4 linked regions of the Drosophila melanogaster genome follow. The protein of the gene in region 3 purifies or fractionates together with the protein of the main gene of each other region. This does not show direct contact. Each region holds a gene or a part of one and is shown on either strand. Other genes may lie near its edges.

Region 1 (9,032 bases), on a different chromosome or scaffold from region 3:
CTCTGGAAATTAATCTCATTGAGAGTATCGTAGAGTGTGGCCAATGAGGATTCCAGGTACATCATTAACTGGTCCATGGAGTTGGAGTCCTTGGCGAGCACCTCAGCACCTTCGGCCAAGTATCGTCTAATTGGCGGTGCCATTTTCCTGGCCACAATCTCTATGAGCTCAACAATCTGATTGCGTTCGGTGTCCAATGCATTTTCAATGACAGTTTTGATGGTGCTTGCGCATCTCTCAGCCTCTAAGTTAGTTCGATACTCCCCCAATCTCTTGATAATGTCATCAATGCTAAGTTCCTGAAATAAATTATTTGTTTTCAATAAATTTGTTTGATTTAGGTAAATAAAACCTCTACCTTTATGAATGAAGGTAAGCTCTGCCGGATGTAATCCATGTTGTTTATCGCTATGCACCACTCCTCCGACAAAACTATAAAATAAATAAATTCAATACAAACAATATATGATAAAAAATGGTTTCCAATAGAACTTACTGAAATTTTTATTGTTATCATCAGCAATAAAAATATTCTCAACTCTGCGGGACATCTGTTGGGCATAAAATATGCAGCAGCGACAAAGATCCTGTAAAATTATAATAATTAGTAAAGATAACATAACTATATTTGTATTCAATCTCACATTGACGATTTTGGCTACGAAGATGTAGGAACCCTCGACCTCTGGCCAGTCAAGTTGTTGCCAAAATATCTTGATTTGGTAGAATATGGAAAGTGTGTCCACTGCCGAGGAGCTGTATTTCACTGTTTCATCGACCGCTTTCAGCTGATCCAAATCAATTGCTTTCTGGATGCGACTCAATGCCTTAATTATTGAAATATCCAGCCAGTGGGTAACTCCCCTCTCGAACCACGGGTAAAAGTTGGACAGTTCCAGGGGCTCGGAGCAAAGAGATTCTCCTGTAAACAGAAAAATCAATTAGTGATTTGCTAAGAGTGAGGACTTCAGTACTTTACCTAATTGAACGTAACGTTTGAGTATTAAATAGACTTCAAACAAAGTCGTGCCCATATTTACATTCTCAAGGTTGGGTAAATATTCGAATTGATCGTCTGGCACATCCAATCTCTTAATATTATTGCACACTTCTATTATAATCGATTTACAGATTTCAGCAAGCTTGGAGTCATAAAATAAATAAAGTACAGCGGAATAGTTAAGCTGAATTTTGCTGGAAATGAACAAGGTAAATAATAAATGATTGATTGATTCATCGATGCACAATTGTAAAACTTACTGGTAAAAGATTTTATCGAAGTATTCCATTGCACGTTGCAGGTCAGACCGCACCATTTGTATCAGTTTAATGACGTACTGCAGCTTTTCGTCATCGGTTTCGGTGTTCTTAGATTGCCTGCTGCCCTCCACTATGTGCTCCAGCCATTCCCTTGTCCCCGTGTTGATAGCATCCTCAATGGCAGTATCAATATTGCACGTTTCATCAGTGTCGTTTGTGTGTAGCCAACCATACACCGATTTGGGGAATATGTCTACACTCTCCGGCACTTCCAGCTCCTTAATCTTCTTTAGAATATCCAGAACTTCGTTCAGAGCTCTAATTATGTTTTTATCACTGGTGTTTTTGGATCTTAGTTTCCTTAGCACTGCGAAGCACGAGGGAAGCAGTCGTTTCACGCCATCCCAGAATGTTTTCACATCCTCGGAGTCGTTCTGCATGTAAGTAATCACTGGCACCACCACGTCCAGAATTGAATTGAATAGTGTGAAATTGAGTTTGTGCGTCTCATGGATGGTGCTGTACGCGTGCCACTGGCTGAGCGCACAGTCGAAAGGAGTTAGCCCACTCTGGGCAGCATGCTGGGATCGAATGAGTTCGGCATTGGGACTGAACTTGCCGCTCCACCAGTAGTTGGCCACCTGCGAGGTTTCCAGCTCGTACATCAGGAGCAGTTTCAGTAGGTTCTTGTGCTCCTGAACGGCGACACTTTTGTTCTTCTCCGCACTCAAGGCCAGATTAACCAGAAGTGATCCTCGACTGCGTCCCTTGCTTCCCTTTTCCAGGTTATACCATACGGTGAGGCCGGAAACGGGAATAGACTGAAGGATATGTGTGTTTTTTTTTTAGTGTTAAGATCTTTGATAATATTAGATCTTTTCCTACCTTCAATGTAATTGCAGCTCTCCCAATCAGTTCATTATCATGTTTTCCCGAGGAAGCTGTTACAGCAATTTCCTTCATCAGCTTGCTAAGTCCTTTCACACCCTTAACATCCAGGATTTTGTTGACTTTTTCCTTGACGGTTTCCGCAGCATCAAAGTCCCTGAAAAAAGGTAAAATATTAAATGGGAATCATGCGTTAAAATAGATAAATGGGATTCTAGCATGAAATTCTAATGTTATAAAACTAACACAACGTACTTTACTTTAACTACTCAAACATATTTCAAAAAGAATGATGAGTTTTTAAGATGCCATACCTTCGAGTTAGTTAGTTTCAGACCATAAACCTATTGATCCGCGATAAGTGCAATTTAGAGTTCAAGAAACGTTATCAGCCAGATAACGTAGGTTTTATGAGTGCGTTATATGAGTTCAATATGCAAACAAAGTCACACTTACCACACTTCAACGATAAGAACTTCGTCTCGAGCATTTTCAGTAATTGGCCTAGCAAGAAAATAAACATTAACAAATATATATCAGTTTTTATACGAAATAATCAAGACTCACAGTGAAAAGTGCTCCTCCCATATGGGATTCAATGTGGCAGGCTTGACCGATGAGTTGTATCGATGGGAGCCATTCGATTCCAAGTACAGGGTAACAAACGGATCGGACAAGCCGTTTGAGTCCTTGGACATGAGGTTCTCGGCCTTTATAATCTCGACATTTAGTCTAACATTGGGCGGTTCTTTCAGTCGCGCCGCCTCATAAATTTCCTCATGAGTGGCGTTCGGAATTTTGAATGCATCCTGCACGAATTCGACCAAACTGTTTGTGCACTCTTCGTTGTTTTCACAGCCAATGTTGTTGAAAATTTCAAATAATATCTCTTCATAGAGATCTGTGACCTGCAAAAGCAAAGGCAACAATTAGTTTAATCCCAAAACGCAGGCGACATTTATAAACCATCTAATCGGTGAAGTATTTTAATTTCTTTGAGCAAAAATAGAAATAAGTCACTTCTCTAAAGGTCAAAGCCTAAGTAAATATCGACAAATTCCAGAATACGGAAATATAAACAAATCTTCGCAGGGAAATTGGAAAAACAGACCCAGCTGAGGTCATGTTTGCTTAGATACATTCTATATAAGTATCTACTGGATGCTCGCTACAGTGAAATGTTTTATCATTCCCATAAACTATCCACTAACATAAATATTGACTTAGCTCCAAATTCGAATCAATAAACTTCTTAGAATGTTCACATTTTCGCTGATTTTTTTTTTGGTATCTTCTAGCTACACTTTACATAATTTTCAATTATGATTTTGGCAAAAAAAAAACAAGTACATAAATATATGTATTTAAGCACTGAAATACTCTGTGCACTTAACTCGAGTGACTCAACAATTATGCCAAATCAATGAACTTATACAATCGCTTTTGTTTACCGAGGCACTGATGAACCGATTCCCTCGGATATTCTTAAGATCAGTTCATTATGGATTACAGATATATCCATATCTAGATATAGCATCCAAACTTCGTTCTCTACTTACGGTCATCGAGTGGCAGACCGCCTTGGCATGGGAATCAAGTAAATGCTTGTGGACACCACGGAAGTGTCGACTGGAAATGCTTCCATTCCGATTCAGTATGCTCATCCGTCGCTCGAATGGTTTGTTGAGCGACTGGGTGGAGGATGCCTTCCGCGGCAGTCTGATTTCGTCGCATCCGGTGCGCGTACTGGATCTAGTTAGGCTATTGGTTTTCGAACTTTGGTTAGACGAACTGTGGTTTTGGGAGCCGAACTTGCTCAGAACACGTGGTAGCGATAGGTAGCTCATGATCGAACCCAGCCACTAACCGATCACTCCACTTTTTCAATGTTTTTCTCTAGGTGCAAGCGAAATTGAAATTTTTGGCAAATACTCTCTGGCAAATATACAATTCGATATAGACGCACATATTATCGAGCACGATCGGATGCGCTGGTGGACAGATCGTGGACACCCACGGACTCAGGAACACCGACTGGACACAACCGCTTCGGAGAAGAGTCTGTAGCTAAGTACAATAGCGTCCGGTGTGGGAAATCTTTGCGATATCCGAAATATCTTGACGTTGACCATGAGATAAAAAGTGTATGCGCTCAATTCGATTCAGATTGCTTGGTGTATTTGTGCATACTCGTATGTACACGATGATGGCCAAGTGTTTGTGAGCAATAATAAAGCAATCTTAAGAGAAAATGGTCTATTTTCGGATACAAAAAGGAAAAGCTCAAGGTGGTAATGAAAAATGTATTTTCTAAAGTACATTAAGCTTTCTCCCCGCCTCCCTTCAATTGGCCGCTCTAGGGTTCTTCAATGTTTGCATGTTCTGCAGTGCTTGTTTATGCTGTCAGTATACATTATTCGGTTTGTTTATACAGTCCGACTATATAGGCAAGTTCTTTTGTTTATTGTGCAAGCGTTTCGTTTCTATGGACACGACTTCATTTTCGGTTTCTGTTCAATTAAACTACACCTGCCCAGACGGCAAACATGCGAACAGCAAAATGTTGGCACAAGATAAAACATTGAATTAACTCGTAGGCGATCGTTACGCCGCGCTGCAAACTGGAAAACTGACCTATGTCGCAACTTCCTCGGTAGTCGGGCCTAGGAATTACACATGACGTGAATGTGACCAGGCTCAAAAGCCATCCATATTCACCAATACCCACCATGGTGGATAGCTAGTTTGGGAGTCGACCTGGTAAAACCCAAACTGAATGACGGAGCTTTATCTTGATGTACTTTCACTCGAATCCTAAAAGCTACAGTGCATACTAACCCAACAATTCAAAACGAGTTCGTAAAGCGGCGATTATCAATACTCTATCATGAATATATATGTATATATATATTAGGGCGGATTAAACCATAAATCATCCTTAAACTGAGTTTTACGAATTCACAAGAGCTCGTATGAATCACATGTATAAATATGAAAAATCTCTTAACGTACGCATTTGGGAGTATGTAAGATACTAAATTAAATAAATAATTTAGTAATCTTATGATTAAACTATAGGTTACGTTTAGTATAAGCTGGAGCTCTATTAGTTGCACCAGTTGGAATGCAGTTTGATTGTCTGATTCGTTGTGACCTTTTAATGGCTTTGTCAACCTGATTCACAGCACTGATTTCTCAATTACAAAACTTACATTCATCACTGGCGCCGAGTCCAGAACTGAAGTGCTGATATCCTTGTCCGAACTGGACGCCAGTGTACTCTCGGTGGCAAAGGTATCGATGCTGGTGCACTCCGAATCCTGGCTGAGTTGCAAAGTGCCATCGGGACTCTCGTCCGAATCTTCTTCTCCGCCGCTGCCATTTTCCTCCAAGGGAGCCAGTGAACTTTTGAGGACGCCCTCATCGATTTGGGACTTCTGCCGCAGTAGGGATCCAAACTTTTCGAAAAATCCATCATCTCCGTCTTGCAGTCTGCGGAAAAAGTGCAATTAGTAAATAATTCGAAAAAAGTCATTAAATATTATCTGCACTGGCTAGTCATCACTTAATGGGGATTTCATTTCGATTAGGGATACTCGTACTATGAGCAAGCTTATGTAGATGTATTTGAAAGCCCAGTGAAAAATACCCTAAAACTGAGTCATGTTTTAGTTGCGAGTGGGTGGTAAAATCGATCTGTGGCTTCCCCCACTCCCTTACATCACTTGCCATTCCTCACGCACACACGTTAATTTCACTTGATAATCTTTAATTTATCTGATGACACAGTTCCAGTTCTCCAAAATGTTCATATTTGTCTAGAGAAATAGAAACACACATTTCGGCTCGTCTGGCGAACAAATGTTTGTCTATCGGTGAGTTTTCAAGTTTTCTACAGGTATGCGTGAGTCTGTATTTTATTCATCCAACTTACTGGTGTTCATGCTCCGTGGGTGGATTCATTTTGAGCTCCTGCAACTTGAAGAAGAAGCCCTTCCACATCTGCTCCTCGTCCATTGTGATGTTGCGTTTTTAGCTTCAGAGGCACTGAATCGAAATCGGAATCCAACAAGTGTCACCGGAGTGTAGAAACATACTAACGGCTTATTTGCACCGAAACCGAAACGAACAAACGATGTGATTCATTGCCAAAGCTGCTCTCCGACGTAGATTTTTCTCAGTGGTATTCACACGCTCTTCCCTACACTATCGCAAACACATTATAATGAGCTATGGATGTTTGTAGTATCTAACATTGGGCGAAAGTGGGGAAATGGGAAGGAACGGGATGATACATACAGACAGACACCTGTTGCCATGGTGATCGGACGTTTTTTCTAGCTCTCATGCTAATGATTTTAAAAACTTATAGTTTGTAACTCTTGAAATTGTTGAATGAAAATCCATTAAGAAGTTACCAATCATCAATGGTTCTAATGGTGGTAAGCCTCACGCACACCTGTTTATGTACATATACTCTTGAAGGGCTAGGTGTTGGTATTCTTGTAACTACCTTTGCAGACTGGTGCTTCCATGGTCAAACTACGCACTTTAAGGCACATTTTCAGATGCCAAGCTAAATTATGTGCGCAACTATTTAACTACTTTAAAAACATACCTTATTTTTTCAAATATCCTTAATTCCGAGCGCCGGAAGTAACTTTTTAACATGATTAAGTCCTTTGCAAGGTCAGAATGCCAGATTGAATTAGGCTAAGAGGATTTGCAAATCCATTAGGAATTTCCTTAATTTCAATTCGAATTAACGTCTCCGTTTGTTTTTTTCGCACCCTTTAAAACTTTATTTATATCTTTTAAAATAAACAAAGATTAGATTAGATCAGTTTTGTTTATTAATTTGGTATGTAAGATATACCAACATAAATGAATCTACCGAATACCGTATTTCGATAACTTACGAATGGCAGCCCTGCAGTCCGATAATCATAACAAACCCACGGCAATAACAACAAACAAATCGTATCTCTTGTTTTTGCTGAAATTATAAATTAAAAAGCAATGAATTTAAAGTATAAGCGGCGCTACGAGAGCTTAAAACGCTCCGTCAAGAGTTATCTACTGGTAAGATCTTAGAAACTAGGGCGAAGTTATGCAAACTTAAGAGTATTTACAAGAAACCTTAAGATTCCTACTCACATATATGTTTACATTATAGCATAAAACATTTACGGGAAGTTATATGATCTATTAACTTTATAATACCAATTTCAGGAGAACGCCGCCCTCACGGATGAGATCTGTCGTCTGCAGGCCGAACTATCTGTGACCCGATCCCAAAGACTTTACTTGATAGAGCGCCTCATGTTTCACGAGGGCTTGGAGAAATCCAACAGTGGACGACCCAGTGTCTCGAATGGAAAAAACGACGCCGCTGAAACCACAAAGAAATACAGTCCTGTAGTTTCGCATAAGAACCCCGTCGAAGATAAGCCAAAAAATGTTACAATTGTACGGAAAAAGAAGCCCATGTTTCCGATGAACCTAAATAATGTATTACTCCACTCACTGGGCGAGATTATATCAGTGAATCCCAATTTTCACACTGAGAGCTGGATATATCCCGTGGGATATGTGGCCACACGAATCTACGCCCATCCCAAGGATCCGCGCAAGAAGTGTGTGTTCACATGTAAGATTTTAAATAACGCCGGGATTCCTCAGTTCCAAATAATACCCGACAATGATCTGGATGGAGTTTTCTTCGGAGAAAGCGCCAATATGTGTCACATGGAGCTTCTAAACTCCATTCAGCGGTCTCCCTGCGTTAAAATTAAAATACCGTTCGACGTACAGGGCGAGGTTTTCTTTGGCTTGTCAAACCAAAAAACACAATCGCTGCTTATGATGGATCCTGCCTTTCATCAGTGCACGAATTTCAAGGGATTCGCGGTGCAGAATGTGCAGTCCTTAAACAGCGCGTCTTTATCCTTTGAGACGCTCCAGGGATTTCTATCTTGATAAGATCTGTTTTTACTATTTGATTCTCGATATAAGAATAATAAGTTTATAATATAAAGACGAATTTTATTTCTCTGATACAATCGTTGCGAGAAGTACTTAGTTATGTACCTAAGTATGTACCTGGTACATGATACGAAAACACTAAAAACCCGAAACAGCTGATCTGTTTCAATTCCATCTCGTCCGTTTCAAAATATACTTTCCAGCTGTATAATACGTTATAATACAGTTTAAAATATTAAATTATTACGAGTGTTTGGGACAGATTGGTTAACAATTTCCAGTTAAATAGATAACATATTATTCTAAAAACTCTTTGTCCCACTTCCGCATGATTCAATGTGCTAAAATCATATGTTTTATGTGGGCATTCGCGGTTATTTCAAATGAAACTGTGCATTTGTACAATTGTTGTCAACTATCGACTTTTCTATAGAAATGCCGAAAAAAACAAGCTGGCAACCTGCCGAGGCAATCGGAAATACAACCCTCGAATCGAAACATATGTACACAACACCTATCTGAAAAGTATTAAACAATATTTTGGGAAAGTTGTTTTGGCTAGCGTTAAATTAAACGACATCCCAACCAGCAGCTGAGGATATAGCCAACCAACAGAATCGGAATCAATCAAGATGGGGAGCATAGAAAAGGCGTGCATATCGGGATTTCTATGCCGACTGTGTTCAGAGATGCACCGCACAGTAATACATATTTATAGTGATCATGGCCAGCGTTTGTGTCTTGTTGAGAAAATCAACGGTTACCTACCAATTACAGTGAGTATTGCCAACTAATGGACGCTGCTGAAAAGGCGGAGCTACACACAAATCACGTTCCCATCGTCAAGGATGTTTGTGTGTACCCAATGTCAGCCATTCCAATAGTTTTTCCCAACTATC
Region 2 (5,692 bases), on a different chromosome or scaffold from region 3:
GGCCAATAGGCGTGCAGCAATGTTTCTCTTGACAGCTACGACTTGAGTGCCAGGCACTTCGCTCATGCTCCGCCGCTTGTGCTGCTCTAGAGCTGCATTCGTAATAAGCACTAGCTGCTCTCGGTTAACGCAAACGAACTGAACATGCATAAACGCTGCCAGACCCACGACGGCGATGGGGGAACTCACATCCGGAGCGGACTCCTCTGGGAACAAACCGCCAATAGAAGGGTACTCGAAGCGATTGTGAAAGAGCTTGTGACCAATTCGTGAGGTGTGCGTTTCGACGGACTCGGAGGTCACTGCATACACGACATAGTCGTTGATATGGACCTGGATAACAGGTGCCGTGAAGCTGTAGCTGGCCACTGGCTTTTCGTTCTCACTGTACCACTTTCCTTGCGCAGAGAACTGGTACAGAAAGCCGTCCACACTGCTGGCCACGAGGAGGGCGTGTCCTATGCACCTCTGGTGCTGAGAAGACTTAAGCGTCCGGCGGTTTACGTGCTTAAACGTGGTCACAGCACTGGGCACCTGTTGGTTGCCCATGTCATACTCATCGTCCTCCTGGTCTACTTCCTGGCTGTTCCTTTGGTAAATGGCCTTGAGGTCCATGCAACGAAAGATGTCCAGAACGCGCGGTTGATTCTCCGAGGTCTTCATGCAGATCTGCAACAGCTTGCGCACATCATATTGCACCGACGCATCATCCAGATGACTGCTCCCGGATATGCCCCTCACATTCATTGCCTTGGCCTCGTTCACGAGCTTGATTTTAATGTCTGAGGCACGTTGAGGGCTGATGGTGATATCTAGGTTGTCATCCTGACCCTTTCCTGCTCCGTAGTCCGTAGTCTCGTCCCACTGAGATCGCAGTTCCGGCTCAAATTCCCTGCCGTACGCATTGTTCACCAGCTTGGCCACGTTAAAGTCTAACGGTGACCGTCCAGGCAAGGCACCATTCATGACAACCTGTGGTTTTGCACTGCTCGTCGATTGTAGGGAATCGCTGTCGCAGCTCTGCTGGCTGTGACTGGAACTGACCACGCCCCCACCTGCGCCGCTGGCACTGGCCTTACTGCCCAAGCTTAGGGATTCCGAAAGCGGCTCGTCTCCGCCAACGTAGTCGTTATCCAGACAGCTTACATCCTGCCCTCCACTGGCTCTGCTAGTAAGTGCATCCACAACCTTAAAGGCCACGCAGTAGCGATTGCTGAGACAGGCGATTACGTTCTCGGCTAGACACAGACGCACAGGGACGAAGTTTAGTTGCACGAAGAACTTAAAGGGCAGAAAGTCGATGAAAGCGAACCTAGGCTGCGTGTTCTCATGAACGCACTGGGTGTATTCGTAGAGGTAAATCCTGTCACGACTGCTCACAATGATGTTTCCGGATGTCTGGCAGCATTGCACCAGCTCCGGCGGACTGCGCAACGGCAGCTCAATCACATCGATGCTCTCCACCAACGGTGTCTTGGGCGTGGTCATCGAAGCTATTCGAATGGTAATGGGCAGCTCGTTTAGCCGGCTGTCCGGGAACTTCCAGAAGTTGGCGTAGATGCGTACGAACATCTTCGTGTCGTCCTCAGAGCAGACTGTATTGCTGTTGCTGCTTGATGTGCAGCTAATGGTGGAGGAGGAGTGCACCGGACTGCCCGCCTGTTCCTTTTCAAGAGTAAGTAGGTATTTGCCTGAGGAAGATTCATCTTTAGTAGCGTTTTCAGATACATATACATAATATATACTCACCAGCTTCACAGTAAATAAGTTGCACCACTTCTCCCACCGTGGCCAGCGTGCTCCTGCTCGGCGTCCTCTCATCACCAGCGGTGGTGGTGGATTCTCCTGCCGTCTCATTGGATTGTCCAACGTCCTCTGGTGCCGTTCTTGTGTGGTCCTCAGATTGAGCCTGCTTGGCACCTATGTCGTAGATCTCGATGAACTGTTCAGCACTGCTGATGGCTATGCGGTTGTTCCCGATAAGGCTGGCCGCCAGGATGTCACCGTTGAGGGCATACGTCTGCTGCCTGGCAAAGTTGTAGGCCTGCAGGATCTTCACCATGGTGGCTCTCTACAAAAAAGACGATGAATTCTTTTTTTACGGCACTCTAGAATTACAAACTAAGCCCTCAGCTTAGTGGAGTGACTTCATCGCCGGACGTACACAGACTGATGGCCTCACCGTGAATCAGCCACTAGAGCAGGGAGTTCTCTGACTGAGCGTGGGACAGAGAAAGGGAGAAGTCCGAGTGACAGTGGATTGGCGGACCGCTTAGCGGGGCTCAAGTGGTTCTTATTTGGGCATGTGAACCATTAGCATAATTGTGCGCTTATACTGGGGTTAGGGATCGGAAGAGTGGATGTGCCGATGAGGCCTAAGGCTAGCGCATATGGGCAAGCTAGGCTAGGATAGGGCAGTTAAAAAGTGAAGCACTTAAATTTAATAAGAGTTAGCCGCAGAATATTTCGGGATTGTAGATAAAGTCGCGATCAAAATTAAATCTTTAATCGGTAAAAATTTTGTTAATCTACGATATATGTATGTATACTATCTGGAGTCACAAAAAGTAGGGAAGCAAATAAAACTGTGATAAATACATTTTAAATTGAAAATCCAAAAATATCACTCGCAGTACACCTTTTTCATTCACCATCCGTCTTTCAGAATCATAGATATGCAATCGAACTTTTGAACACCTTTTTTAAAAGAGAGAGTGGTACATTTGGTAAAACAAGAACCCGTCCCAACGTCGTGCGGCATCAAGTATTCCAATAGGTCAGTGCTGCACCTTTACTTCAGGTGGAAGTCCTGCGTTGTTGTATTGTACGCTTTGACCATAGAGTAAACAGACAGGAAATTAGGTCACGATAGTATACAAAAACACGCCCTTCCTGATTTCCGCCGCCCACCACCACCGGCATTCTATGAGGCGATTAAAGTGGGCCCGGTATCCCAACCCCGATTCCGAGTAGCTATACGTGAGTTAGCCCAATTAAGCCATTGGACATTCGCTGGACATACCACTCGGCGCATCAATCAAAACAGCCGGCCAGGAGGCGGACACGGAAGTGGCATAGCCGGAAATAGACAAGGATTGAGATTTATTTCTGGTCGCTCGGTCAAATCAATAATTCCCGCGTAATCCGTGCGTTAACCCAAATGAACTTGGGAAATGGAGAAGCCAGAACATGCAAATGTGTGTTACGGCGGGGAATGGGGTCACTAAGAGATGTGTGTGCGTTTTCAGTTGCATTTTGGCAGCGGCTTATATGGAAAAATCAATATCTAAGCATTTTGTTAGAAGGTGCCGCTGGAAACTTGGCAAATAATTTACTCTTTGGCAATGTCTTACGTTTAAACTCGTTTTATTATTCCATACAGAAAAACAGAAGACAGGGTTTAAGGATTTCTGAAATGCATTCTTCTTCGGCGTAGATGTTCCGACAATATATGTTACTTATTATTAGGTGGTAGTTATGCCACGTAAATATAACTCCCAGGACTCCCCGGACTGCACATAATATTTACTCGCGTTTGTTTATATTATTTCCGAGTGAGAAACGACAAACTATAAAATATCCAATATAGTGTGACCAGGTTTTGCTCTAATGCGAAGTACGGATTGGGTAGAGATAAGTATTTTTCAAACTACGCTAGACTACAAAGCATCGATACAAGGGTACGTTATTTAATACTCTCTAATTTTGAATTTCTAAATAGCTTAGTAATAAGAGAGTCTTTAAAAGTATAAAGCTCCACTACTATCGAAAATATGTTTTCAACAAAATTCTTTACTTTTACTTTAAGGAATATCTAACTAAGAAATGATTTATATCGAAGATATAACACAACTGCTTTGATATGTGTTAAAGAGCATATTTTTATTATTATTATTCCGAATTCTTTTATCAGATTTAAATATGGGAAACACTTTAATGTATTCAGTATTCAAAAATGCATCGGTATTTTAAGAAGTCCCCGCCACGGCCACACTCCTGGCGCGCAGTGAAATTCGCGCAATAATACGAAATGAAATCATGTCCAGCGCACGCAGCCATGTCAGCATGCAGAACAAGTACGACCGCGTGGTCCTGCTGGTGGACATGGACTGCTTCTTTTGCCAGGTGGAGGAGAAGCAGCATCCGGAATACCGCAACCGCCCGCTGGCCGTCGTCCAGTACAATCCCTGGCGAGGTGGCGGCATCATAGCAGTGAACTACGCCGCTCGTGCCAAGGGAGTCACTCGCCACATGCGCGGCGACGAGGCGAAGGACCTGTGTCCGGAGATCGTGCTCTGCCAGGTGCCGAATATCCGGGAGAAGGCCGATACTAGCAAGTACCGCGATGCCGGCAAGGAGGTGGCCAACGTGCTGCAGCGATTTACGCAGCTCCTGGAGCGCGCTTCCGTGGATGAGGCGTACTTGGACATAACGGAGACCGTTAACCATCGCATGCAGCAGATGCAGAGTGTAAGCTCTGGCACATAATTTTAAAGCGTTTTATTATTATTTTCCTCGTTGCAGGGAGCCTTTGCATTGCAACCGCAGGAACTGGTGAACACCTTTGCTGTGGGCTATCCCAGCATTGGCGACTACGTCAACAAGATAACAAATCGCTTCGCCAATCCCTACATGGACGACGAACGCTACCAGATGTCCTACGACCAAAACGACCTTCCCGCCGTCCGACAAAGCGACATTCGGCTTCTTATTGGAGCCTCTGTGGCAGGTGAAGTCCGCGCGGCTGTAAAAAAAGAGACAGGCTACGAGTGCTCGGCTGGCATAGCGCACAATAAGATCCTGGCCAAGTTGGCAGCTGGAATGAACAAGCCCAACAAGCAGACTATTTTGCCGTTGACGGAGACCGCCAGCCTCTTCGACTCCTTGCCTGTTGGCAAGATCAAGGGGCTGGGTGGCAAATTCGGTGAGGTGGTGTGTGAGACATTAGGCATAAAGTTCATGGGCCAGGTGGTCAAGTTTTCGGAGGTAGATCTGCAGCGCAAGTTTGACGAGAAGAATGGGTGGGTCCCTTAAGAGGAGTAGACCACGTTCAAAGTAACTTATTTCCTCTTATTCCAGAACCTGGCTATTTAACATCTCTCGCGGCATAGACCTGGAAGCCGTGACTCCCCGCTTCTATTCGAAAAGCATTGGCTGCTGTAAAAAGTTTCCGGGTCGAAATAACATTACGGGGTTGAAAACCCTTCAACATTGGCTTGGTGAGCTTTCCTCCGAGATCAACGACCGCCTTGAGAAGGACTTCATCGAGAACAATCGCAGGGCCAAACATATGGTGGTGCAATATGTGCAGGACATTGACGGCGAGGAGGTGGCCAGCTCCCGCTCGACTGCTCTCAGAGATTACGACCAGGAGTCCATCGTAAGGCTTTCTCTAGACCTAATCAAGGCAAACACTAAAACGTTTCTGCGTCCTGGTAGCGAGTCTGCTTTAAACAATGCTATCAAGTTCCTTGGCATTAGTGTTGGCAAGTTCGAAACCGTCTCTAGTGGGCAAAACAAGCTGCAGGAGATGTTTGCTAACCAGGCTGCCAAGAAACGAAGGGTAAGTGGAGATGAGCCAGGGCAACTGCCTAAAGTTGAAATGGAGAAAAAGCAGAAGCAAACGGACGAATTTAAGATGAAGAGCTTCTTTGCAAACTATTTGCAAGGAGCTAAAAAAGAGGATGCGAAA
Region 3 (6,685 bases):
TCTTCCCCAACCGAGATCAACTGGGTCGTCGCATTTTGGTCCTCGAACTGGGCAGTAAGTACACTGAAAGAAGGATACTTCAATATATTAGCTTTTGAGTGCAAAGATCTCGATCTTCAGAGTAAAGTTTATTTTAGTTAAGATGCAGGTTTTCCTATCATTTGAAGTTTCATAGTTGCTCCAAGCATTGAGCAGATCCTGTATTAATCTTTCGTAATCCCCGATTACAGAGCGCTGGAAGCACAAGCAGGTCACCCTCGATGAGGTGTTCAAGGGAGCTGTGCTCTTCCTGGAGGCGGCCATGCTGGAGCCAGAAACACAGATCTGCGGAGCCGTTGTGATCTTCGACATGGATGGCCTCAGTCTCCAGCAAACGTGGCAGTTTACGCCTCCGTTCGCCAAGCGCATTGTGGACTGGCTTCAGGACTCGGTGCCGCTCCGGATCAAGGCCATTCACATCGTGAACCAGCCGAAGATTTTCCAGGTGGTCTTTGCCCTGTTCAAGCCCTTCCTCAAGGAGAAGCTGCGCAGCAGGATCATCTTCCATGGCACCGATCGCGAGTCCCTGCACAAATACATGTCGCCCAAGTGCCTGCCAGCCGCCTACGGAGGATTCCGGGAGGCCAGCCGCATCGACAGCGACCAGTGGTACCAGCTGCTGCTCAAGTGCGACACCGAGTTCGACACCATCAACTCGTACGGCTACAAGAAGAAGTGATCTGTGGCCACCGGCCTGGTGCTGCTCGTGATAATCAACTCCACTCGTTTCCACACGTCTTCACATTAAGCCCACGTGGAGCGTTATAGTTAAGCACTCGATCTACCATACGCTTGTCCTGTTAGTGAGTAGCGCCTAGAGTTTGCCTTAGTCTTAACCAGGATCGGAGTGTCGATCGCAGCCAGAAGAAGTGTTATACCTACATGCATATTATTTTAATCCGGGGTAAGCGTATTTATATCATTTTACTATTGTACATTAAACCAATTGTTAAAATATAAACATACTTTGTAAACAAACACGTGCGGTATTCATATTTATTCGTTTGTTCCCAGCTTTCACATCAGATAAACACACTTAAGGCACTCCGAAATTATGCAATATATAAGGAAAAAATGTAGTGATTACATTCTGATTGCCTTATGCGTAGTACATTAGACACCTAAAGCTTGCTTTCCTCAAGCAAGACACTTGGTTATGGTAAAGCTTATATACGATTGTTATAAGAGTATTTCATACCGCATATATTCGATACGGTAACATAACAAAATAATAACTTAGTAAGATAATATTAAAGCATAGCAAGTAAAAATGGAGATCCTATTCTTGACATAGAAGCTAGCTCATAGTTAGCTCGCTGTGAAGCATAGTTCCCTTAGAATATCAACCACAACGAGGCAATCCACTCTCTACAGCCATCAACATTGGGTGGATGGGTTGCCTTTCGGTCTGAAGCTCCTGCCCCTCCGCGGACTGGAATGCATTGAATCTGAAGGTCAACCCGGCGGGGTGAGTGGTTAAATTAAGCGTAAGTTTCCTGACAGCTCCTGTCTGTCTGCTCATAGCCGATAATTGGTGGCTGGCGCCTTGCTGGCGTTGCGCTTCTGGCCGAACACTTTCTTGCCCGGACTGTGCATGGCGGCATCATCGCCATCCGCGTCCTGCCCTACGCCGCCGCCACCGCCTCCTCCGCCTGTGCAACAGATGCGCCGCTGCACCAGGCGAATGGGGCGGGTGAGGTCAATGGTGTCGCCGTGCTGGCGCAGTTCCGCCTCGGCCACGCACTCCATGTGCCGCCACTGGCGAAGGCCAAGGACGAACGCATCCGTCACATTGGTGGCCGCCTTCGATGACGTCTCGATGTGGCAGGCCACCTTCTGCTCCGCGCACCACTGCTGCACTGCGTCGGAGCTCACCTGTCGCTTCTGCGCCGGAATGTCGTTCTACAATTGGAAGCAATTAACCTTTTAAACTCAAGATGAACGTTCTGCAAGCATGGCTCACCTTATTTCCCACCACGATGAATGGAAACTTGTCCTGGTCCACATCTGCGTAGTTGAGGAACTCATTGCGCCACACACCCAATCCCTTCAAGCTGTCCCGGTCGTCGAGTGCGTAGCAGAGCAGACAGATGTCCGATCCTCTGTAGAACGGGGTGCGTAGAGCCCGGAATCGCTCCTGGCCAGCGGTGTCCCATATCTAGTTTGGGGAAATTCCAATTAAGGCAATGCATCAATTAAGTTTGATTGAATTGGCGATTCAAATGGCGCTCAATTGAAATTTGCATTCGATTAGAAGCAAACTCACTGAGAAACAAACACTTTCGCCGTTTGAAAACCTATGGAGTGTTTGCATGCCTGACTGACTCACTTATATCAACACATTTACTGTCATTTCTTGTGTGTTAATTAAATATTTAGTTTTGAACTGATAACGAGGTGGTGATAAGCAATTAGCTCAGGAAATAGTTCGTTGAATCTGAATTTTCGAGTAGCATACATACTTTAAATATTTATTTTATACTTTTATTTATTTTATACTTTCGAACATGAGGTTATACTTTTAGCTCTAACAATGGATACTTTAAACTTCTTTATCTAATATAAACACCTTTGGCCTCCAAACACATGGGTGGAATAACCCTTTTAGGGTGTGAGTACTGCCCATGGTAACTAAGTGACTCCATACATATGTACATATGTATATAGGTAGTGCAAAAAACACCCCAGTGATTCCACGATTTTTTGCAGCACTGGGAAATCCGCTTTTGGCCAAGTTCTTCCTGTGCCCAGCGAACTGTGAACCAGCAAACTATGCGAGATTCCCGTCGGATTAGTCATATGTATATCAATCAGTCCACATTCGCTACTTCCTACTTTATAATGTATCTGCTGGTCCAATTAGAATTATTATTCCGATTTGCGACACCTTGGCTGCATTTTGCTTACTCACTGAGACGCGCTGCATATTCATGAGTTTTCCGAGCTTGGCGAACTGTGAAAATCATTTAGTTCGATACTTTTGAAGACAACAGTCCGAATGGAAAATGGAAAACAACTGCGATGCGGATGAGATGGAGCGGGGGAAACCGCGTCGGCGGATGAAACAAAGTCTCTCACTTGTTTGCCGAATGGCGAAACTGTCATTATTGTTATTATTTCAGTTTTTTGTTTCTGCAATGCCATTCCGTTCTCAACGCTAATTGAGTAGAAATCTAATGTTCATATATGTGTGTGTGTGAGTGGGGATGGGGCAGATGGAACAGATACCCCCATAATGTAGGTACAGCTACAGTGGAAAAAACTACGTAATTAATTGATTGCACATATTTTTTTCTTAATTTCAAATGCAAGACTCAAAAACGTGTCAGTAAGATAATACTTTTCTCTGGTATACGAGTGTTTCAAATGGTTCAAGGAATGTATAGTCAATGTTTCCTTGTTTAAATGGTTTAATTTGTTAGCACTTCTGTTTTTACCCTGTTTAACTTACTAAAGTTCCACTGTGCCGCGAATGTAAGGGAATGGAAAACAAGGCTTAATCGTTGTGTAGTTTCTAAGTGTTTGCATCAACAAAATGCCGGTGGATCGGGCACAACCATGCGACGGTGGGATAGATCCGTTTGGGGGGGGGGGGAGGGGGTTAGTGTTTAAGTGAAATACACTTGAAGGAAATACGCTTGGCCAACTGTTGCATTCACCATAAGAATTGCAAAAGTTCTACGGCCTTGCCGCAATATCGGTATTACTATTACTCCTAGTCAGTAGTTGGATTGCATAATAGTCATAGTCGTAGTCTTCACCTGCAGAGTGTAGCGCTCCCCGTCGACGACTATGTCCTTGTTCATGAACTCCACGCCGATGGTGTGGAAGTTGTTCTCCTCGTAGCGATTGGCGACGAATCGGGTGAGCAGGGCGGACTTGCCAACGCCTCCGTCGCCCAGTATGACGACCTTCAGCAGCTTGGACTTCTGCGGCGGCCGCATGTTCGTCATAGTGCCTGCGTTTGTTTGTTCTTGCAGTTAAGTCCGGCGGCAACAGCAGTGGCTAGATTTCTTTGGCCTTTTCCTACTGCGCAGCTTGGTTGACTGCCGGCTGCAGTGAGTTTTCGGCTTAATTGCACTCACGATTCCCGAGCGATTAGCAGGCGCACATACAGAATTGCACACGGCGTGTTGTTAACAACGAATATAATTCGTTTTTTTTCGTTTAAATAAATCGAAATGGGCAGCTCAATCAAAATTCGCGCCGTGCAGCAGGTCCAATTGGATTGGCAGTCAGCTGACAACTAACAGACCGGGCCTTTGGCCTAACATAATGCTAAGCTCGCCGTTAACAGAGCGCCAGTGTGGGGTGACCACAGCTCACTTAACAGCTTAACTACATAACTGTTAACTTTGAATAAAAAAACGAAAACCTCTTAACAAATTCTATAAAAATTTTAATTCGTTATTAACTAAATTGACAGCCATCGGACCAAATGTTTATTGACTTAATCACAATAATAAATTAGACTTAGCCCTTGATAACTGCAATTGGGCGCATCTTGATGCACTTTTTGCTGATGCCAGCTGCGTGACAGGTGTCGACCACATCGGTCACGTCCTTGTAAGATTCGGGTGCCTCCTCCATGACCAGTTTGGGCGAGGCCACGCGTATGGCGATGCCCAACTGGTCCAGCTTGTCCAGCACATCCTTGTAGTCCAGATTGCGCCGGGATTTGGCTCGAGATAGTGCACGACCCTAAAGATTCAAGGAGGTTTTAGTCTGGCGAACAGGAAGAAACGGGATTTGGTTACTCACCGCTCCGTGGCAAGTGCTACCGAACGTCTCCTGCATGCCCTGCTCCGTTCCAGTTAGCACGTAACTGCAAGTGCCCATGGTTCCACCGACGAGGACTGGCTGCCCGGTAAGCTGATAGTCCACTGGGATCAGGGGATGGTGTGGCGGGAAGGCGCGCGTGGAGCCCTTCCGGTGAACCAACAGCTTCCGCTCCTTGCCGTCCACCATGTGGTTCTCCACCTTGGCAATATTGTGCGAAACGTCATAGATAACGTGCATGTCGAGATCATCGGGTGTGGTGTTAAACATCTTGGCAAACGCTTGACGGGTGAGGAATGTCATGGAGCTGCGATTCACCCAGGCAAAGTTCGCAGCCGCCGCCATGGCCTTCAAGTAGTCCTGTCCCTCCACCGAATTGATCCTGGCGCAGGCCAGCTGCCGGTCATTGGTCTCGATCTTGTCCCGCTTCATGGCCTTCTCCATCTGGACCAGGGCGTCGGTAGCGACCTGGTGGCCGAAGCCACGACTGCCCGAGTGAATCATCACCACCACCTGGCCCTTCTCCTCGATGCCCATCTTGGAGGCGCTCCACTTGTCGTAGATTTCGTCCACCACCTGGATCTCGGCGTAGTGATTGCCCGCACCCAGAGTGCCCAGCTGGGGCAGCCCTCGCTTCTTGGCCCGCATGCTCACCTTGGCGGGATCGGCGTTCAGCATGCGGCCGTACTCCTCGCAATGCTCCTTGTCCTCCGCCCACACGTATCCCTCGCGCAGCGACCAGTCCATGCCCATTTCGAGGGCCTCCTCCAGATCGCGGGCATTCATGGGTATGATGCCCTTGGAGCCCACACCCACGGGTATGTGATCGAACAGGGACTGCGCCAGTTGCTCCTTCACCGGCTGCACATCCTTCTCGTACAGATTCGTGCGCAGCAGACGCACGCCACAGTTGATGTCGAAACCCACGCCGCCGGGACTTACAACGGACAGCGGATCGTTCATGTCGAAAGCAGCCATGTTCCCGATGGCAAATCCGTAGCCGGAATGAATGTCGGGCAGTCCAATGGACCTGCCCACGATGCCCGGCAACGCGGCCACATTGGCTATCTGCTTGACGCCAGGCAGGAAGCCACCCACTGCGCCCGGGCGACAGGAGTTCTTCAGCTCCTCCAGCATCAGGCGCTCCAGCCGGCTGTTCACATAGAAACACCCCTCCACATTCATATTTGGCTGGAAGCCCTTCTTGATGCGCCAGCAGTGGTCGCTCACTTTCTCCAGGTACCGGAGCTCATCGTTGTACGGACGCACCACCATCCTGACTCTCCGGTCGTTCTCTTTGCCAGCCAATCGCTTCTTAAGCTATTTATATTTATGAGCTATTTCACCAGTTTTTTATTTCTGAATTGCATGCCGGCACAAAATATTTGTCAGCGATACTATCGCAGTGCGCGATGTGTAAAATACCAGACTTAAAGCGATACGAAAAATACCGCCTTTACACTTGCAAACCAATTGTCAAATATCGTATTAAGGTAAATTTATTTGCTTAAATTAAATTAAAAATGCTAACAAATTGAACAGCGCTGTGTTATTAAGTTATCCTGCTAACATATTTATGTGGTGGTATGCTTGCATTAAGCAAAGTATGTTGCCCAGCTTATCTGTGCGAAAGCAAGCAGTTTAAACTAAGCAGTATTCTCTCTAACGGAAATTTAAAACTTAAGTCAAATTGTATTCAATTATCTACTTTTATTAACTCAAATTAGTGCAAACGAGAAATTGAATTCTGTCGAAAAGAAGAGCTTTTCGGTTGTACATTTGTTTGAGTGTGTATTTTAAATGCAATTGCAATCTCTTGCATAGTAAAAGACAAAAATATTTACAAAAAGAGTGAGTTCATATCAAA
Region 4 (8,897 bases), on a different chromosome or scaffold from region 3:
TCGGGAAGAACACAGAGCGAGAGAGAGAGAGAGAGAGAGAGAGGGGCTTACAGCACCTACACCTGAATGCCCGAACACAGGTTATCGAGCAAATATTGGTAACTAAACCAAACTGAAACCCACTGAGCTGTTCTGATAAGATAGTCAACGCGGCGTATGAGTAATGGGGTGGAACTGAATCAGCCCAGGGACAACGAAACCTACTCACCCCAATTGTAGCCGCTGTTGTCCACGTCGTACAGCTCCCCCAAATAGTCATTTGGCATGATGAGGGCTCCGAACATTTTCTCGGGCTTCAGTCCCGCGACGGTGAGGATATCATCTGTTCCCCGACTGCTGACATGCACCACGGGAATCAGAGTGGGCTTCTGCAGGGCCAGTGGTTTGGTTTTCGGGTTGTCCGCTTCCGCTTTTTTGGGAGCGGGCGTGGCCTTTGGAACCTCAACGAATTCCGCCTGAGCTTTGGGCTTAGTCACCTTGACCGGCTCCGGAACTGCATTGATTATTTGATCCTCGAACTCCTCCGTCGATATATTCTCGTTAGCCAGGACAAAGGCCATAAACCCGCAGGCCAGCGCACAAACCACAAACAGTTTGAAACGCATGTTCACTTGATTTCGATTTGTCACTTAATTGGTAATTCGTTTTTTCGTTTCACTGCTAAAAGAAAAACACAAAGGCATCAATTAGGCATCCACAATAAAAGTATCACTCAATAAGCACTCAATTCATGCGAATTTGTACACTATTTTTCCTCTGATATCCTCATTTTCTAACAATTTTCACTTGATGACATCATCAGTTAAGGCAATGGCTTATCAGTTCTCTTATCACTTGTCACCAATTTTCAATTTTAACTTTAATTACCAGGCAGGAAAACACGTTCGTTGCAGCGAGCCGCTCAGCTAAGACTGAAGTTAAGTTAACTCTAACGGCCCGATCGGGGCGTTGCCAAAACTCAGTTCACCTGTCGCCGTCTACTCGATTGTGAAACATTGCCTTATCGGCCAGATAAAGCTAGGCATATCTTATCAATGGAATACTACGCACCGATAACGCATTCCTTCTTCGGCCCGCTTGGCTTTTTCGGGAAGCTTCACTCTCTTCTCTGTGCTCCAAATTTACCAACCTATTTGTTTATGCCCATTCGTGGGACCGTTACCTATATTTCTCTCTGTTGACAATGGTCTCTGGCAGATTTGTGATTCACTTCCATTACAGTTAATCATACTCATGACGCGGCCATTTTGTGAAAAGCTGAATGGGCTGTAAAGCCTAAACATGTATGTGTGTGATGCGAAATTGATGAGAGCACGCTTCCGGTTTAATTATAGACAATGACCCATTACCGACCATTAATAGGCATTTCCGATGAAGCTTTAGAGTTATGAATATCAGCCGCCCGTAAAAAAGCCTACTGATGGATTTCATTAGGACATGAAAGTGTCATGGTCCTCATTAATGAAGAAATCAAGTGCAGAGTGGGGAACTCCAAATTAATAAAATCAAAGCGTTTTGAGGATCAACTTGTGTGACTAAAAGGGTATTATAAAACAATAATGCAGATAAACATTGCTATAATAAAAATCGAAGGATAAGATATATTTTTATAGTGGTTATTGTTAGGGGAAAATTGGTGTTGAAAATGTACCCCATATATCTTTTAAACAAACGACAGCATAATTATGTATAAAATATATATATAAATATAAAAATGTTTTTAACTATGGTACAGTTCATTTCAATATATTCCTGAGCATATGTATGACTAATTTAATGGATACAACTCTTCCCTCTCTCAAAGGCAATCCATTATTGGCCAACGAACCTGTTGCATTATCAGCTTTAGTTAACTGATAAGAAACTATTTTGAAATTCATTATCATCTCATACATGTGTTTAACAAGCGCTCTGTTAATTAACAGCGATCATATCACACCACCAGCCCAAAAGTAGGCACTACTTTTCGGAGGGATTTGTTCTCTCCCGGTTTATTTCCCAGCTTATCAGCAATTTAGTTTATTTGGAATATGGGGGTCCCGGCTTCAAACAAAAGTGAATTGCCCTTAGTTCTGGGTCGAACGGCGGCGAGAAGAGACCGCGATTTCGCTGCGAACTTATCAGGTGATCCGGCATACACGCCTCGTTTTTAATCCATCAGCATGCTGCGTTATCTGGCGCTTTCGGAGGCGGGAATCGCAAAACTGCCACGCCCACAATCGCGGTGCTATCACAGCGAAAAGGGCGTTTGGGGCTATAAGCCGATTGCCCAGCGTGAATTTCAAGGTACGGTTGTAAACAAGTGTGTTGCCAAGACTTCAATAAAAACCTCATCCGTCGAGATAACCATCGCATCGATAAGAGTCTTTCGGGATCAAACATTCATATGAATGGGCAGTGGAAATCTACCCAAGCAAAAAGAAAAACCGACGAAGTGACATTGTGTGCGTGTGTGTGCGTTCGTGTCGGATTTTCCAGCCGGCTATTTATCAGCGGAATTCAAGCAGCTGACCCACAACAATCCCCGCAGAAACTGCAATAAAACAACAGCCTGAACAAGAGATCAAGTGCAAATTGCTGTGGGTGAATTCGAAAACCAGTTTAAAGAAGATATATCATTTGTATACCCTGTAATCGGAGGGTATATACGGGAATACGTATGGATACCTAGGATTATTTTCACTAACTTCAGGTTTAACTTAATTTCGCAAAATATTTTTTAAATTGAAGTTCATTGTTTATGCCTCTCATACTATCGAGAAAGAACAGCTCCTGTTGACTGGTGGAATATTTTTTATGGTTTTAATGTTACCGTCTTTCCTGTTACCTACCCAAGCTAATCTCCACGTTCTCAGCTTATCACATGTTTTCACTCTGAAATCTGATAAACCCGAAATATATGGCGCTACACCCAGTACCCCGAATTTATAATTAGAATGAGGAGATTGTGGCAGACCCCCCGTGCAGTGCACTAATTAAGTGAAGAGAGGCGGATGTCCAGTGCAGAGATACTATATCTTTTCCCAAAACGCACGGCAGGGAGTCCAAAAAGGACCCGGCTAAATATCAAAGCCCGGCAAACAAAGGACCCCAAAACGGGAGCTTCTTTGTGCTTGTCCTGCATCCGTTGCGTACACAATTGGGGCTTATCGACACCATGGCCAACAGACACCAGTCACCAGTTGGTAGTTGGTAGTTGGATAGTCTGCCAGGAGCCTTTGACTGGGCACCAGAGGAAAGCCTTCAACGCTTGACCATGTGACATCAGGCGCCTAGGATGATGCACATAGAGAAAATCAAGTCTAGGATTTACTCAGGCTTTGGAAAAGTATGTTAGATATTCTAAAGCAAACCCAATTGACCAGTATTTTGAATTATGGTAAAGCGTACTAAAACTGACTTTAAGCGTTAGTTTTGCCTCAGTGTAGTATCGGTATAATTCGCCTTGTTTGCCGTTCGTCCTTTGGCTGCATTTCTGTCAGGGCAATCATTATCCTTGGCAAAGGACGCGCCGCTGTGCTCCAATAATATTTACACGCTCAAGCTGAAATGTTGTCACCGCAAATACAATTCATCATACACCCTGTGCTCCTGTCCAAGCGACCTACTCTTTAACATTAAATTGATTTATGGCCGAAATGCCGTCGAGAAATTGCATAAATTTCTGAGGACGACTTGGGGTCGGTCTAACTGGCAAATGCCAGCTGTCCCACGGATTTCGAATTTTCAGGGTACTGTAATCGAGTGATATGCGTCATCGCATATAAATCCTGTAAGCAGGATAACACTTTAACACGTAAACACCTAAGCAGCCAACGAGTTGTCAATGGCTCAACCAGGGAATAAAATATCCCAACAAAGGCAATAAAAACAACAATCGTAATTTCTCATATGTAGCACGAATTGCTTGCCATCGGGAAGCACAAACGTCGTGGTACACTCTATAGTTTTAAATTCGATGTAAATCTGCTAACTGGAATAACTAACGATATATGTATATGATAAGAATATATGTTCTGCACGCAATCTCAATAAGCCCCATTTAAATCTTTAGCCAACTCCTTTCGACATTTTCCACTCGAATTCATATCGAATGCCAAATATTTGCCGGGTAAATACGATTCAAAAGTGCACATACCTGGCAGCTAGTCCATCAAAGTGAAGCAAAGCGTAAAAAGCAAAGAATAAATATCATAAAAGTAAAAGGCCAATAAATTCAAAAGGCCGAACAACGTGGCAACGGGGCGATGTGCACGTGAATCCTTTTTTAAATAATTTATAACGTGGGGCGAAATTTATATTGTTTACGCGTGTGTTTCAGTGGCCGAGGATGTGCGGGCCTCAAGGAACTCGCAGGCCAACGTCTATCGCTTTGTGGAGGCCTTTCGCCAGCATGGGCACAAATTGGCAGCCGTAAATCCCATCAGCATCAGGACGAGGTAGGAGGCTCCAGCACCCAGTACCCAGCTCCCAGCTCCCATTTTCCCATACCCCTCCCGAAATCGTCCTGGCAAATGTCATATTTTATTCTCCCTTTCTGGCTGCTTTGTAATATCGCCCCGGCTGCGTGTATTTGTCTTGTGAATTTTCGTGGCTACTGGACACAGCCAGCAGGAGCTGCAGGAATTAAGTCCCGCATTTTATGGACTGCAGACACAGGAGCCGGTGCGCACCGATGGCCTTTTAAGTGGTCCGCAGGTGGCCCACAACGTCGCCCAGCTGGAGCAGCTGCTCAAGGACATTTACTGCGGCCGCTCAACCAGCGCCGAGTTCTCCTACGTCGAGGTAGGTGTCCCGTCCTATCGCATCTCATCCCATTCCACCGCATCCCATAAACATTGCGTGCTGATCCCGCTGCCTCATTTTCGCAGGACATCGAGGAGCGTGAGTGGCTGGCCCGGAACTTTGAGACGCTGGACCAGCAGCAGCTGGGAAAAAGCGAGCGCTGCGAAATCGCCGAGCTGTTAATTAAGTCGCAGGCCTGGGACAATTTCATGGCACTCAAGTTTCCCACAGTCAAGCGATACGGAGGCGAAGGAGCCGAGTCCATGCTAGCCTTCTTCTGGCAACTGCTCCGTGACAGTGTCCAAGGTGAGTTTCCCACGCAATGCCATCATGAAGTTATTTGGATGCATCACTCCGTTGAACATCGATTTGGCAAAGCAACATTCATAAACTTCTACGATTAAGTCCATTTTATTCCAAATTTCAAAGTTTCATCCCATATTTATGACATGATTTATACGGTCTCGTGCGTGTGGACCGCTCCTTAAACGCGATTAGCAAAACGCGGAATCGCGCACCCATTTCAAGACGCCGAACTTTGTCTCGTGACAGTCCGCAGAGATGGTGAATCTGCTCCTCGGAATTTGAGCTAGCCCACCTGAACTCTAGCCAGCATTCCAAACTTCCTTCCCACAGGCATGCTCACATATCATCGCACGCTTACTTAACCCTAATCTGCTTTCTCAAAACTTTTCCCTCTCGCATGCTACCCCGAAAAACAACGGAAACGACGACAACGATAAAAAAAAATTATACAATGGAATGACAGCGAACATCGAGCACGTGGTCCTGGCGATGCCCCATCGAGGAAGGACTCCGCTGCAGGCGGCGCTCCTCAACATGCGGCCGGCGAAAGTTTTCCGCAAACTCAGCGGCGCATCCGAGTTTTCCGAAGACATCGAGGCCATGTCCGACGTCATAAGTCATTTCCGTAAGTGAAACTTTGCCGGGGCGTTCGGTGGGCTTACAGGTATAGTAGGGTATTCTGGTATATTCGTTTATTACACGGACAAGAAGGATCTGAAGTTGAATTGACCGTAAAATAGAAACAGGAGAAAAAATGTAACATATAACTTATTTATAGTCAATTATTTATCCCAAAGTATTTAGTACTAGGTATGGATTTTAATATCCTGGGTATTTCATAGTCTTCATTTGAACTAAAATCCCTTCATCCCATCCTTTTCGTGTGCGCCAAGCAGTCTTAGCCTTGCTGGCCTAAGCACACACGGCGTATGCTTAATTTAATAAAACCTGAACCGAATCGCACACAGATGTTTCCGAGCAGCTGAAAATACTGGGCAAGAAGCTGAGCTTCAGCATGGTGCGGAATCCCTCCCATCTGGAGGTAAGCCGACACACGTCAAACTTTGAAATTTGATTTCTAATTTAAGCATCGTGTTCCTCCTTTATCCCACTTCTAGGCGGCCAATCCTGTGGCCATGGGAAAAACGCGATCGAAACAGCAAGCCAGAGGAGAGGGTGCCTTCGGGGATGGCAGTCAGCCCTTTGGAGAGCACGTGCTCAACGTAATCCTTCATGGTGATGCTGCGTTCGCCGGCCAGGGAATCAACCAGGAGTGCCTCAACATGGCCTATGTGCCTCACTTCGAGGTGGGCGGAAGTCTGCACCTGATTGTCAACAACCAGGTGGGATTCACCACGCCCGGAGATCGAGGACGATCCACTGCCTACACCTCAGACTTGGCCAAGTCTATTCAGGCTCCTGTGTTCCATGTCAACGGCGATGATCCCGAGGCTTTGGCCAGGGTCACAAGCTTGGCCTTTAGGTACCAGAGGGAATTCCGCAAAGACATCTTTATTGATCTGAACTGCTTCAGAAGGTGGGGTCACAACGAGCTGGATGACCCCACCTTCACCAATCCCTTGGTCTACAAGATTGTTCACCAGCGGGAATCGGTTCCGGACTTGTATGCCCAGCAGTTGGCCAAGGAGCAGGTTCTATCAGAATCGAAGGCCAAGGAGATGAGGGATGAGTACATGAAATATCTAGGCGAGGAGCTAGCCTTGGCTCCTGCATACCAGCCACCACCTTCCTACTTCGAGAAGCAGTGGACGAACTTTCAGTTGGCTCCCTCCAAGGAGCTAACCTATTGGGACACTGGCTTGGATTACTCACTACTTCATTACATTGGTCAGCAGAGTGTGACTTTCCCCGAAGACTTTGTAAGTTAGCTCAGATATGTGTATATATATATATTCTAAAGGTTTTTTCCTGGGTAACAGAACATCCATCCCCACCTGCTGAAAACGCATGTCAATGCTCGGCTGAAGAAACTGGAAAACGGAGTCAAGATCGATTGGTCCACAGCCGAAGCCCTGGCTATTGGGAGCCTGATGTACCAGGGACACAATGTGAGGATCAGTGGTGAGGACGTGGGTCGGGGAACCTTCTCCCATCGCCACGCCATGCTGGTGGATCAGCAGACCAACGAGATGTTCATTCCCTTGAACAGCATGGAGGGCGGAAACGGTGGAAAACTGGAGCTGGCTCACAGTATTCTGTCGGAGGAGGCGGTGCTGGGATTCGAGTACGGCATGGCCATTGACAATCCCAACAACCTGATTATCTGGGAAGCGCAGTTTGGTGACTTTGCCAATGGAGCACAAATTATAATCGACACCTTCATCGTCTCGGGAGAAAGTGAGATGGAAATAGCATCTTTTCTCCGTACTGATTTTAAAGAATTTCTTAACTAGCCAAGTGGATGGAGTCCAACGCCCTTGTGATGCTACTGCCCCACGGATACGACGGCGCTGCATCGGAGCACAGTTCCTGTCGCATCGAGCGCTTCCTGCAGCTCTGCGACTCCAAGGAAACATCCGCCGATGGCGATTCCGTCAACGTGCACATCGTGAACCCCACCACGCCCGCCCAATACTATCATGTGCTGCGTCGCCAACTGGCAAGGAACTTCCGCAAGCCCCTCGTGGTGGTGGCCCCCAAAACGTTGCTCCGTCTTCCTGCGGCCACATCCACGCACGAGGACTTCCAGCCGGGCACGCTCTTCCACAATGTCCTGGGTGAGTAATGGCTTCTGTTTATCTTCACGGACTCGAGGGATAGCGAGTGGGGTCATGGCATGACTAGGGTACTATGTCTCTGTCCCTAGGCAAATATGTAGAAAACTACTATAGTTAAATCTATTAAAAATACACCTCGTTGGCCAAAATAGTTATTGGCCACATACATAAAGGCAAACTAGCAATATAAACTTTTCAGATTTGCAAAGCACATAATTGACTTTTAATGCCACATATATCTTTTTATATGCTGTCCTGCTCCTATGAATTGTAAAAAGATGTTTACGTAAATTCAGGGTTATTATACTACGATATTAATCCACATTTTCTTCTTTACTTTCCCCTGTTATTACCCACCCCCAACGATAGGAGACACCATAGCGAAGCCTGAGCAGGTGCGCAAGGTCATCCTGTGCAGTGGAAAGCACTACTACACTCTCGCCGAGGAGCGGGAGAAGCGGCAGGCCTACGACACGGCCATTCTGCGCCTGGAGTCCCTGTGTCCTTTCCCCATCCAGGAGCTGCAGGCCCAGCTGGCCCAGTACGGCAACGTGCAATGTGAGTCCATCGTAAACTTAGGCCACAAAGTTGACCGGATCTGTATTTGCTATCGTTTTTATACACGAAAAAATATAACTAATATCTTTCTTGATATATATATTGTACCACTATATATATTTTCTCTGCGTGCAGCTTTTGTTTGGAGCCAGGAGGAGCATCGCAACATGGGCGCCTGGACGTTTGTGCGGCCACGTTTTGAAAATTTAATTGGCCAACAGGTAAAAAGTCGGCCTGCCACCGGCGGCCTCAGAAAAAGCTCTAGACACTTTTCACTACCAACCGATTTTCCCCGCTTTCCACAGCTCCACTACTGCGGTCGCTGCGAGGCACCCACCCCCGCCACCGGAATCGGAAAAGTGCATAAACGGGAAGTCGATGAGATTGTTGCTGCCCCATTCGAACTTTAGGGCGAACCCGCCTCCTCAGCCGGTGCATATATCACAAAGTACTTTAGCTCAATTAAACTGCCAAAAATGTTTGTGTAAAAGCAGAAAACAAGACTTTTGA

What was found.
Region 1: the proteins of Rab9 (region 3) and stac purify together in Drosophila melanogaster (affinity purification with mass spectrometry, with the first as the bait; one large-scale study listed by BioGRID). This does not show direct contact.
Region 2: the proteins of Rab9 (region 3) and CG14562 purify together in Drosophila melanogaster (affinity purification with mass spectrometry, with the first as the bait; one large-scale study listed by BioGRID). This does not show direct contact.
Region 4: the proteins of Rab9 (region 3) and CG1544 purify together in Drosophila melanogaster (affinity purification with mass spectrometry, with the first as the bait; one large-scale study listed by BioGRID). This does not show direct contact.

Annotation. Positions count from the first base shown.
Region 1 is NT_033777.3:25,054,233-25,063,264, reverse strand, and holds the start of stac (staccato), read right to left. Parts: upstream 6,247-9,032; 5' UTR 6,166-6,246; coding exon 6,083-6,165; intron 5,641-6,082; coding exon 5,361-5,640; intron 4,185-5,360; exon of another isoform or gene 3,996-4,184; coding exon of another isoform or gene 3,708-3,995; intron 3,057-3,707; coding exon 2,716-3,056; intron 2,653-2,715; coding exon 2,605-2,652; intron 2,306-2,604; coding exon 2,146-2,305; intron 2,082-2,145; coding exon 1,261-2,081; intron 1,195-1,260; coding exon 980-1,194; intron 923-979; coding exon 645-922; intron 588-644; coding exon 497-587; intron 433-496; coding exon 359-432; intron 300-358; coding exon 1-299. Other genes in the region: CG31111 (uncharacterized protein), read left to right, coding at 7,168-7,230, 7,381-8,127; CG31109 (uncharacterized protein), read left to right, coding at 8,766-8,909. UniProt on the Drosophila melanogaster protein: Essential for tracheal development in embryos. Functions with the GTPase Rab39 and downstream of dnd, to regulate lumen fusion between previously separate tracheal branches (anastomosis).
Region 2 is NT_037436.4:21,940,116-21,945,807, reverse strand, and holds the start of CG14562 (uncharacterized protein), read right to left. Parts: upstream 3,588-5,692; 5' UTR 3,354-3,587; intron 2,072-3,353; 5' UTR 2,063-2,071; coding exon 1,750-2,062; intron 1,692-1,749; coding exon 1-1,691. Other genes in the region: PolH (DNA polymerase eta), read left to right, coding at 4,039-4,470, 4,525-5,021, 5,080-5,692.
Region 3 is NT_033779.5:19,430,179-19,436,863, reverse strand, and holds Rab9 (Rab9), read right to left. Parts: upstream 4,291-6,685; 5' UTR 3,993-4,290; coding exon 3,801-3,992; intron 2,198-3,800; coding exon 2,003-2,197; intron 1,942-2,002; coding exon 1,558-1,941; 3' UTR 1,023-1,557; downstream 1-1,022. Other genes in the region: CG10237 (uncharacterized protein), read left to right, coding at 1-54, 231-718; RtcB RNA ligase, read right to left, coding at 4,513-4,740, 4,801-6,093.
Region 4 is NT_033777.3:31,194,850-31,203,746, forward strand, and holds CG1544 (uncharacterized protein), read left to right. Parts: upstream 1-2,066; 5' UTR 2,067-2,162; coding exon 2,163-2,286; intron 2,287-4,321; coding exon 4,322-4,439; intron 4,440-4,607; coding exon 4,608-4,785; intron 4,786-4,871; coding exon 4,872-5,091; intron 5,092-5,554; coding exon 5,555-5,716; intron 5,717-6,059; coding exon 6,060-6,133; intron 6,134-6,209; coding exon 6,210-6,971; intron 6,972-7,031; coding exon 7,032-7,449; intron 7,450-7,505; coding exon 7,506-7,829; intron 7,830-8,198; coding exon 8,199-8,387; intron 8,388-8,522; coding exon 8,523-8,608; intron 8,609-8,692; coding exon 8,693-8,797; 3' UTR 8,798-8,873; downstream 8,874-8,897. Other genes in the region: mesh, read right to left, coding at 209-605.